Linked DNA regions of Coturnix japonica. The protein of the gene in region 1 purifies or fractionates together with the protein of each later gene. This does not show direct contact. Links are inferred from orthologs where the notes say so. Each region holds a gene or a part of one and is shown in the gene's direction. Other genes may lie near its edges. The genes, in order: TEPSIN and AP4S1.

Region 1 (4,568 bases):
TGTCACTGGCCTTTCTATAGGAGGAGCCTTCCCTTCTCACAGTGCTGGGGCCACCCGAGGACAAGGACACGCTCCTGCCCCGTGGTGCTGCCATGCATTTGGTGACGTGGGTTTGTTGCTGAACGTCTCCGTGGCATCGTGGGTTTGTTGGCATTTGTCTCCATGAACACAGAGGACCAAAGATACCCGGCCATTCCCCAGCAGCCCAGGAGGGGCAGCGCATGGCTGTTCCTTAACAGGGACCGTCTGTAGCGGGGCTGGTGGGAGACGGAACCGTGCGGATCAATAAAATAAGCTGAAGCATTTCGATCTGATTTTAGTGCTTTAATAAACGGGTTGATGGGGAAAAGCTGCGTGGGGTGAAGGAGCCTGAGGTTGGGGTTGTAATAGAGGCCAACCCTGAGCTCCAGCTGTCAGCTCCATCACTTCGGTCACCTCCATCACCTCGGTCAGCTTCATCACTTTGCCGTCGCCGCCGCCTGCAGATTGACCTGTGTGAGCTGGTCCCGGTTCCTCCATCCCCATATTACAGAGTCACAGAATGACCCGGGTTGGAAGGGACCTCAAGGATCATGTAGTTCCAACCCCCTGCCTGGCAGGGCCACCAAACATACACCTTTACTAGATCAGGTTGCCCAGGGCCCCGTCCAACCTGGTCTTTAACACCTCCAAGGACGGGGCATCCACAACCTCCCTGTGCAGCCTGTTCCAGTTCCTAACCACTCTCATAGTGAAGAACTCCCCCCTTACATCCAACCTAAATCTTCCCTCTTTTAACTTCAAACCATTTCCCCGTGTCCTGCTATTGTCAGCCCTTTCCTGGCAGTAAGTTCCCCTCAGGTACTGACAGGCTGCACTGAGGTCACCCCTCAGCCTTCTCTTCTCCAATTGAACACACCCATCTCCCTCATCCTGTCCCCGTGGTGCCGCTGCTCCAGCCCCGTATCCCGGTCCCATATTGGTCCGTACCGCTCTATGGCAGCACTCCCGCAGCGCCCAGAACTCCCTCACACACGCGTCCCGTCGCAGCTCCGCGTTCCCGGCCGATGCCGCGGCCACGCACCGCCCGTAGGCTGCGGCCTAAAGCGGGGACAGGAAACAACCGGAGTCACCACAGCCCGACATGGCTCCCATGTGTCCCGGTGTGTGCTCCAGGCCGGGCCCCACCTGCTCCCCGCACGCCGCCAACACAGCGGGGAAGCGCCGCAGCCGCGCTCGAGCCCGGAGCCAAACGCCTCGGCCCGACATCACCTCATGCACAGGGCGCCGCCATGATGGCGGAAGAGCTGTTGGCTGCCCGCCTCTTGATAGGAGGAACGCTGCGTCTGTCAGCGCTCTGCGCGCTTGGATTGGCTGGATTGAAAATCCGGTGGTGTGGATTGGTTGCGCGCAGCACCCGCCTCCTGACCAGCTTCCTGTAGCTCTGATTGGCTAAGAGGACAGTTGTTTACTTCCTGCTACCGGCGTCAGTCCCGTAGGCCACTTCCGCCCGAAGCTCCGCCCATTCTGAGCGCTGATTGGCTGATCCTGTGAACCTCGCTCTCTCATTGGTGCTCTGCCTCTTCCTGCGGGCGGAAGTTTGAGGCCGCTCTGGGGCCGGGTGGGAGCTGAGCGGACTGTCATGGCGGCGCCGCTGCGGGACCGGCTGTGCTTCCTGAGCCGGGTACGGGCCGAGATGGGGGATGACGTCATCAGGGGGTGGACTGACGTCACCGTGGGGGGCGTGACGTCACTGATTATCCCTCGGGGTGATGGGGGGGGCGGTTCTGTGGGGCCTTTTAGGATCGCTGGGTTCTCACTGTGCCTCCTTTCAGCTGCCGGTGTTACTGCGGGGAACTGCGGACCAGGAGGAGCCGTGCCCGGGGTTTGTGTTGGAGGAGATCAGCAGTATCTGAATGGGGAGATATGGGGGGAGAGAGAGACAGCCATAACACGGGTCATGGGGACTGCAATGGGGGGAGATCCATCCAACCCTAACACATGTAATGGGGTGAGATCCATCCATCCTTAATACACATAACGGGGACAGCAATGGGGTGAGATCCAGCCATAACACATGTAATGGGCCTAATGATGGGGTGGGATCCATCCATCCCTATCACACATCATGGGCACAACAATGGGGTGAGATCCATCCATCCCTAACACATGTAATGGGCACAGCAATGGGGTGAGTGAGATCCATCCCTAATACATGTAATGGGCCTAATGGGGTGAGATCCATCCATCCCTAACACACATGTAATGGGGACAGCAGTGGGGGGAGATCCATCTATTCCTAATACACGTCATAGGCACAGCAATGGGGTGAGATTCAGCCATAACACATGTAATGGGCCTAATGATGGGGTGAGATCCATCCATCTCTTAACACACATAATGGGGACAGCAATGGGATGAGATCCATCCATCCCTAACACACGTCATGGACCTAATGATGGGGTGAGATCCATCCATCCTTAACACATGTAATGCGATGAGATCCATCCATTCCTAACACACATAATGGGGACAGCAATGGGGTGAGATCCATCCATCCTTAACACACGGCCCAGAGATCTCCCGTGAGTCAGCAGGGAGCAGTCAGTGTTTGCTGGAGTTCCTGCTGGGCCGGCTGCGCGGCGGCTCCTGCCACGTCAAGCTGAAGGTACGACATTGCTGTGGGCTGGGGGGATTGATGGAGCTGTGGGGTGGGCAGTTCACCCCAATGTTGGGCCCGTGACACCTTGTCAGGTGCTGAAGATCCTGCAGCACACGTGTGCACAGGGCTCACCGCAATTCGTGCTGCAGCTGAGGAGGAACGCTGCCTTCATTCGGGAAGCTGCAGGTAATGGGGTGTAGGAGTAGGGCAGGGGGTGGGGAGGGCTGTGTGTGGTGCTCCTGTGGCTCTATAGAACGGCCTGGTGCAGTTCTGTGCTGGCTGAGGCCGGGTTCAGCCCCAGGCTGCCTCACCTCGTGCCTTGCAGCATTCACTGGGCCCCCAGACCCCCTCCACGGCAACAGCTTGAACCAGAAGGTCCGGGCTGCTGCGCAGGTGAGTGCTGGCCCCGTGTCCTCTGTGCCTGTGCACTGCTATGGAGGCTGGAGCAGCTCCTGCTCCCCATGTCTGGTGCTCCCCAGGTCTCTCAAACATCCCTCTCTCCTGTCAGGACTTGGCCAGCTTTCTCTTCTCGGATGCTGTGCCCCCAACGGTTGCCACGTGTCCTGCCCGTCCCCTGCATCCTGCAGGTAAGTGCAGGCTGTGCTGTACCTCCAGCTCCAGTGCCTTGCAGGGGTCTGGCCCCTGTTACTGCCTGCTGGTGTGTTAGGGCTGATGTCCCACAGCTCTGCTAGTTACAGGCTGAGGGTGTTGTGTTGGACAGAGAATTGTACCCAGGGGAACAGGCTGCCATAAGTGTTCTTTTAATTGCTCTGGCTCCCTGCTCCTCCAGGCAATTCCAAAGGTTCTGCTGTGCTTTCTGAGGGAGGAACAGCAGTGACCCAAAATGCCTCTGCTCTTTCTGACTGTGCCTCATACCTCCCTTAGGCATGGGTTCCAAATCCAGTCCCTGCAGCTCCATGCAAGGATTTGGCTTCAGCAGCGAGAGAGGCAGCTCAGGTAAGTGCCATCTGAAACCCTTGCTGGGCATTGCCCTCACCCTGCATATGGGTGCTGCCCCCAGAGCCCTTGGGCTGGGCTCTCAGCTTCCTAAGGCTCTTTCCCAGCCTCAGCAGGTGAAGCCCTGCTCAGCACCATCCAGCGAGCAGCTGAAGCTGTGGCCAATGCTGTGCTTCCCTCACTGGACGGACCCCGTTCTCACTGTGGGGAGCTCCATGAAGACACCTACCAGCCTGTGACAGCTCCTTCTCCTGCCAGAAGCTTGGCCAGCTCAACCAATCCACCAGCAGCCACCACAGCTCACATTGCCCGAGGTGTTTCTCCCATTGCCTGAGCTGCCCACCCCACTGTGTTTTGGGGTTGCTTTGTCTCCTTCTGGGGCCAGTATGTCACTCCCTGGTTTGCTGTTTTTGTGCTTGCAGTGAGTCATCAACCAGGGCTGGCAGGGGGCGGCTGGGAGGAGGCAGACAGTGGGCACAGCTCCCAGAACTCCTCACAGGAGAATGGTGACCTGAGCCGCACCTCAGACACCTACAGTAAATCAGGCAGCGACAGCCACTCTGGGACCAGCCGGGAGCTGGTGAGCGGGGCTGAGAGGTAAGAATGGAGAACAAGGCATGTTTCGATTGCTCCGAGTTCTTTTGAGATGGTTTTTCCATCTGTACATTGCCCTTGTTTCCCATACTGTATTTTCCATCTCCTGGAGCTGACAGACTCTGTTCCTCTGGGGGTGTTTGTCCTCCTGGTCTGGGCAGCCCTCAGCCACATAGAGCTGACTGCAGGGACACTGTGTGCACAGGACGGAGCAGGGCTGTCTCTGTCTTCATGCTTTCCCTTTGCAGGGTGGATGCTGACAGCCTGGGTGATTGCCTGAGGGAGGTGAGCCTGGTATCAGCACTGACACAGGGAGCCAGGGTCTTCCTGACCAGGGAGGAAGCACAGCACTTCCTTAAGGAGTAAGTGCCCGAGG
Region 2 (4,472 bases), on another chromosome or scaffold:
GGTGAAGCAACTTGCAACTGAAATTAATTGTAAAGATGTGCTCCATACATGAGTACTATAAGAAATCTAAAAGTTCACTACAAGATCCAAGAAAGAAAACCAAACAAAAGCTTATGGCAGACCATACGCCCACCTGCCTTGCCCCCATTTGTAAAGAGGGCTCTTTACCAGTCACCTGAACCACAAAGGGGACAGAAGGGGAGAGATGGGAAAAATCACTCAATAATTCCCACCGGTTTAAAACTGCCAATAAAAATCCCATTGTCTGGAAAAAATCTTAAGTTCAGAGCAAGAAAATAAAACAACGTTCTGCTAAGTCATTTGGTTTTCCACATACTCTTTGTAAAGTGTTATTTGCAAAGTTATCAAGTCAACTTAGGAAGGGACCTTTAATTACTAAAGAAGGAAGAAACTACCTGCATGGGTGAGAGCTGCATCTATGAAATGTAGTTCTCATGCTTCTAGCTTCCATATTAATTACTACTGTCATGCTACCAGATTTTTTTCCTGTTCAACTCAGGAGGCTGCATTCACAGATGAACAACAGTCATAGAGGCTTCAAAGGGCAAAGCAGTTGTTTGGGGTTCAAAATGTTTTATTAGTCACAGAATAAACTGGGACTTCATTACTTGAGTTGTAGGACCAAAAAGTAATTATATGCTATAAACATACACACACATACATGAAAACCATAGGGCCTGGTTTTCATGCACGTCCTCCAAAAGAACACGCTTAACACAGTCCTATACTGAACTTAATCACTATGAAGGCTGACATCTAACATGCAAAGGAAACACACTCTCCCTGCCTCCTTCCTGATCACACTTCTATCCTGGGCTTCTGAAGTCAGCAAAAAAACAAAAAAGTTCCCCTCATACACACACACTGGGCAGGGAGCACTGCTCCTGCTTCCCATGACCTAATGCACACACACAGATAGAGTGAAGCAACACATACAAAGCCAGGATCAGAACTAGGATGGCAGATTAAGTAACAAGCAAATGAAACATTGTGGCTGTGAATGACAAACTACAGTTACATAGAAAAAAAAGCAGCAGACTTGGCAGAAACACATCACAGTATCTAGAGGCCACATGAGTTCACACCAGCACTTCCAGTCAGAGTTTTCAACATCTCAAAACTGCACCTTACATTTATAGAACGAGGTACTTCACTGTGAAGTCACAAGCCTATACACAAAACAAGTACTTCAAGATGGTCTTGCTTGATAATGAACACCACTGAGCTATTTATTTACCTATCAATACAGTACTATACTACTGAGACGCTACAGAAGATATGAGAACAAGTCCATTGCTACTGAAAATACCCACCCCATTTCCACCACAGTGATTTTAGGATCAGCTGTTCTGAAAGGTTTAAAATAGTAAATCAGGCAGTAAGTGAAATAAATAGCAAAATCTCTCTTACTATTTATTTATTTATTTTTTTCTGGGGGGAGGAGGGGGAAGGTGTGATGTTTTGTTTTCTTTTATTCTATCTCAATTCAAGCTGTAACAACAACAACCCTGCAAATTACACATGTGGTCTAAGAGTTGAAAAATCCTGAAAGAATTGTCCAGGTTTAGGTAGAGTTCTCCATTCTACAGTCTGAAGATGTACACAGACATACATCAAGATGTACACAGACGTACATCACAAACACTGGCTGCTGCTACAGCATGTTTCCACAAACTGCAGGTAAGGCGTGATTTGATGGAATGCTGCTTCAAGACTGCAAACATTCACCCAACATATAAATCATAACAAGAAACATTCTTTTTTAAACAATTTTAACTGTTATGCTTTCATAGGAGAAAAAAAAATGCACAACTTATAGACAAATGCCTCAGACTCTGTAGATTTCATAAACTGAACATAAGTTTGTGATGCGTGGCTTTATTTTTTATATGAACACGTAAATACAAGAGATCTTTTCCATTATGAAAAGCAAACATTTATGGCCAGAGATCTATGCTGGAACTCAAACACTTGCTCCCTGCCCTCTAGAGTTGTTCAATTTTTGCTCCTGACACAGAGTTTGTATTTGTAGGACAAGGATCACACTGCAGACCCATCAGCTCCTCACTATTCTTCAGCAGTTGCTTCTCCCACGTGAGGTCTCCCAAGAAACAAAAAGGAAGGAAAGAGAGCATGTGTTCGACCTGTCTCCACCGTGAGAACCCGGTCAAGTCCGTTGCTTGCGAGATTTCTCGACCCCGTTCTCAGCGTTCTCCCACCTCGGCAGGCACCGCCGCCTCCCCGCTACCCCGAAGGAGCCGCTCGCTCAGCTCCGGTGAAGCCGTATCCTTCCACGCCCGCGGGCCGCAGCTTTCCCAAAGCAGCACCCAGGGCTGAGCAGGGCCGGGCTCCGAAAGCCCCCGAGTCATTGTGCTCGGGGAGGGGACCGCAGCTGTCAGGGCGCTCCGGGCCCTGCCCCGCACGACCGATCAGCGCGCTCAGCGGCCGCCCGCCCTCCTCCGGCGTTTTGCGGCCCTCGAGGCCCGCGGAGCCGGGTTGGCTCCGGCGCCAACAGCCCAGGCGGGCGCCATGCTAAAAACCAAAATGGCTGCCCCAGGGAAGGGAGCCCAGCTCGGGCCGTGAGCGGCCGCGCCTCCGCCAGCCCCGCCGCCCGGCGACGTCGCTTCGCCGTCCGGCCCTCGCGCAGGTACCGCTCCCGTCCCGCAGCGACCGCCCCGGCCTTGGCGACCCGCCGGCCCCGCTCTCCCGTGCGGCCCCGAGACCCCGAGTCGGTCCCGGCCCCGCGCGCGGAGCCCACCCTGGGCCCGTACCTGCAGCTCGGCCCGCTCCACCTCCCAGTGCGCCCGTTCCATCTCGAAGCGGGCCCACTCGTGCTGGATGTAGTGCAGGATCCCCGGGATCGTGTAGTGCTGCGGCCGGGACAGCTCGGCGGGGCCCGCCGCCTCCTGCCCGCCCGGGGCCGCGGGGCCCTGCGGCTGCTGCTGCCCTCCGCCGCCGGCTCCGGCCCCCGCGCAGCCCCCGCCCGGCTGCAGGTTCGCGTTACCCCCGCTCTGCGGCGAGGGCTGCTGCGGCCTCGGCGCGGCCGCCATCCCGCCGCCTCCTCCGGCTCCGGGGTGCTCGTCCATTGTCTGCGGGGAGCCCTCCTTCTCGTCCCGCGGCGGGGGGCCACGAACGGGGGCCGGGGAGGGGGCGAGCGGCGCTGGCTGCGGCGGGCGGGAGGGGGCGGGCCGGGTACGGGGAGGCGGGGGGCCGCGCCGAGCGGTATCCGGGTGTCAGAGCAGCGCCCAGCCGCCGCCAGCCGCCATTACAGCCCGCCGGGCCTCGGCCCACCCACACGGGAAGGGGGAGCGGCACGGCGCGCGGGGCATGCCGGGAACTCGCTCCCCTCTCCCCTCCGCTCCTTCCTCCCGGCCCGACGAGGCGGCGGAGCGCGCATGCGCCTGGGGGAGGTGAGCGCCGTGACCTGGGGGGGGCTGCGCTGAGGGGCAGTGCGGGCTGATACTGATACTGATACTGATACTGATACTGATGATACCGATACCGATACTGCTCACTGAGCGGGCGGGGGGCGGCCGCTTTGGGAGGGGCTGTAAGGCCGCTCCGGTTGTGCCTCGCCGGGCTGTGCTGGGCGCTGCTCGGTGTGTCTCACAAGTAGGTGGTTCTAGAACAGGTTGGCTGAAAGTGCTCTGGCGGTGCCCGATCCTAATTGTATTGTAATGAAGGTCGTCTTCGTGCTGTTGTAGTTGAGGGGTTTGTGTAATGTTTCCCCTCCGTGATGGGAAGAACGAGCGCGCACATTAGCAGCAGGTTTGGTGTGCCATGGCAGCACAGCCCGGGTTGGCTGCACAGCATGGACGTGGTGAAAGCTGGGCTGCACAGCACTGCCCTGAAATGCAGCGCTACCAAGTGCCCACCACGTCCTGGTGGATCTGTAGGCCGCCCCTTCACAAATAACACACGGGTTCGGTTTTACTTCCCTAAAAATGCATATGCTGTATATATGGGTGGAACATGGATGGTGTCCTTAATGGGCTCGTTCTTGACAGTGCTGTAATTGTATTAAATGCCGAAAAATAAATCCTGCTTGTCCCAGTGCTGGCATTTCCTCTCTGCTGACCTCAGGTGCATGTTGCTGTTTCAGTTGTTTTACCAGTTCCTATCCGACTTTTCTCCATTAAGTCATTTCCTACCATCATTTCCTCAGTCTTCCCTTTTCCACACTGATCAGCCTGTCTGAATCCAACTTTTCCACCTCAGCAGATTTTTTCATTCTCCCCAGACAGTATCAAATCGTGACCAAAAATTGCCCCTTACCTCACAGTCCTCTTGGCCCTTTGTTTTACTCCAGCCCTTGAGACATTCCTCATTGCCCATTACCTTGGAAGTGCTGCAGTTTAGCTCCGTTACTATATTCAGGCAGCATGCTGACAACCGCTCTGCAAAGGAAAACTTTTTTAGCTGCTTCCTTCCTCCTTGGCTTCCCCAGATTA

Evidence for each region.
Region 2: the proteins of TEPSIN (region 1) and AP4S1 purify together in Homo sapiens (co-immunoprecipitation; 3 studies listed by BioGRID and IntAct, with this or other methods). This does not show direct contact. The link is inferred for Coturnix japonica from reciprocal best matches to the Homo sapiens genes TEPSIN and AP4S1.

The regions. Positions count from the first base shown.
Region 1 is NC_029533.1:5,094,624-5,099,191, reverse strand, and holds the start of TEPSIN (AP-4 complex accessory subunit tepsin), read left to right. Parts: upstream 1-1,555; 5' UTR 1,556-1,621; coding exon 1,622-1,663; intron 1,664-1,814; coding exon 1,815-1,887; intron 1,888-2,555; coding exon 2,556-2,647; intron 2,648-2,733; coding exon 2,734-2,827; intron 2,828-2,966; coding exon 2,967-3,034; intron 3,035-3,149; coding exon 3,150-3,228; intron 3,229-3,526; coding exon 3,527-3,598; intron 3,599-3,705; coding exon 3,706-3,912; intron 3,913-4,020; coding exon 4,021-4,195; intron 4,196-4,440; coding exon 4,441-4,554; intron 4,555-4,568. Other genes in the region: NDUFAF8 (NADH dehydrogenase [ubiquinone] 1 alpha subcomplex assembly factor 8), read right to left, coding at 459-479, 970-1,080, 1,168-1,248. UniProt on the Homo sapiens protein: Associates with the adapter-like complex 4 (AP-4) and may therefore play a role in vesicular trafficking of proteins at the trans-Golgi network.
Region 2 is NC_029520.1:30,851,190-30,855,661, reverse strand, and holds the start of AP4S1 (AP-4 complex subunit sigma-1), read left to right. Parts: upstream 1-1,500; 5' UTR 1,501-2,668; intron 2,669-2,792; coding exon of another isoform or gene 2,793-3,107; exon of another isoform or gene 3,108-3,300; intron 3,301-3,334; exon of another isoform or gene 3,335-3,431; intron 3,432-4,472. Other genes in the region: STRN3 (striatin-3), read right to left, coding at 2,793-3,107. UniProt on the Homo sapiens protein: Component of the adaptor protein complex 4 (AP-4). Adaptor protein complexes are vesicle coat components involved both in vesicle formation and cargo selection. They control the vesicular transport of proteins in different trafficking pathways.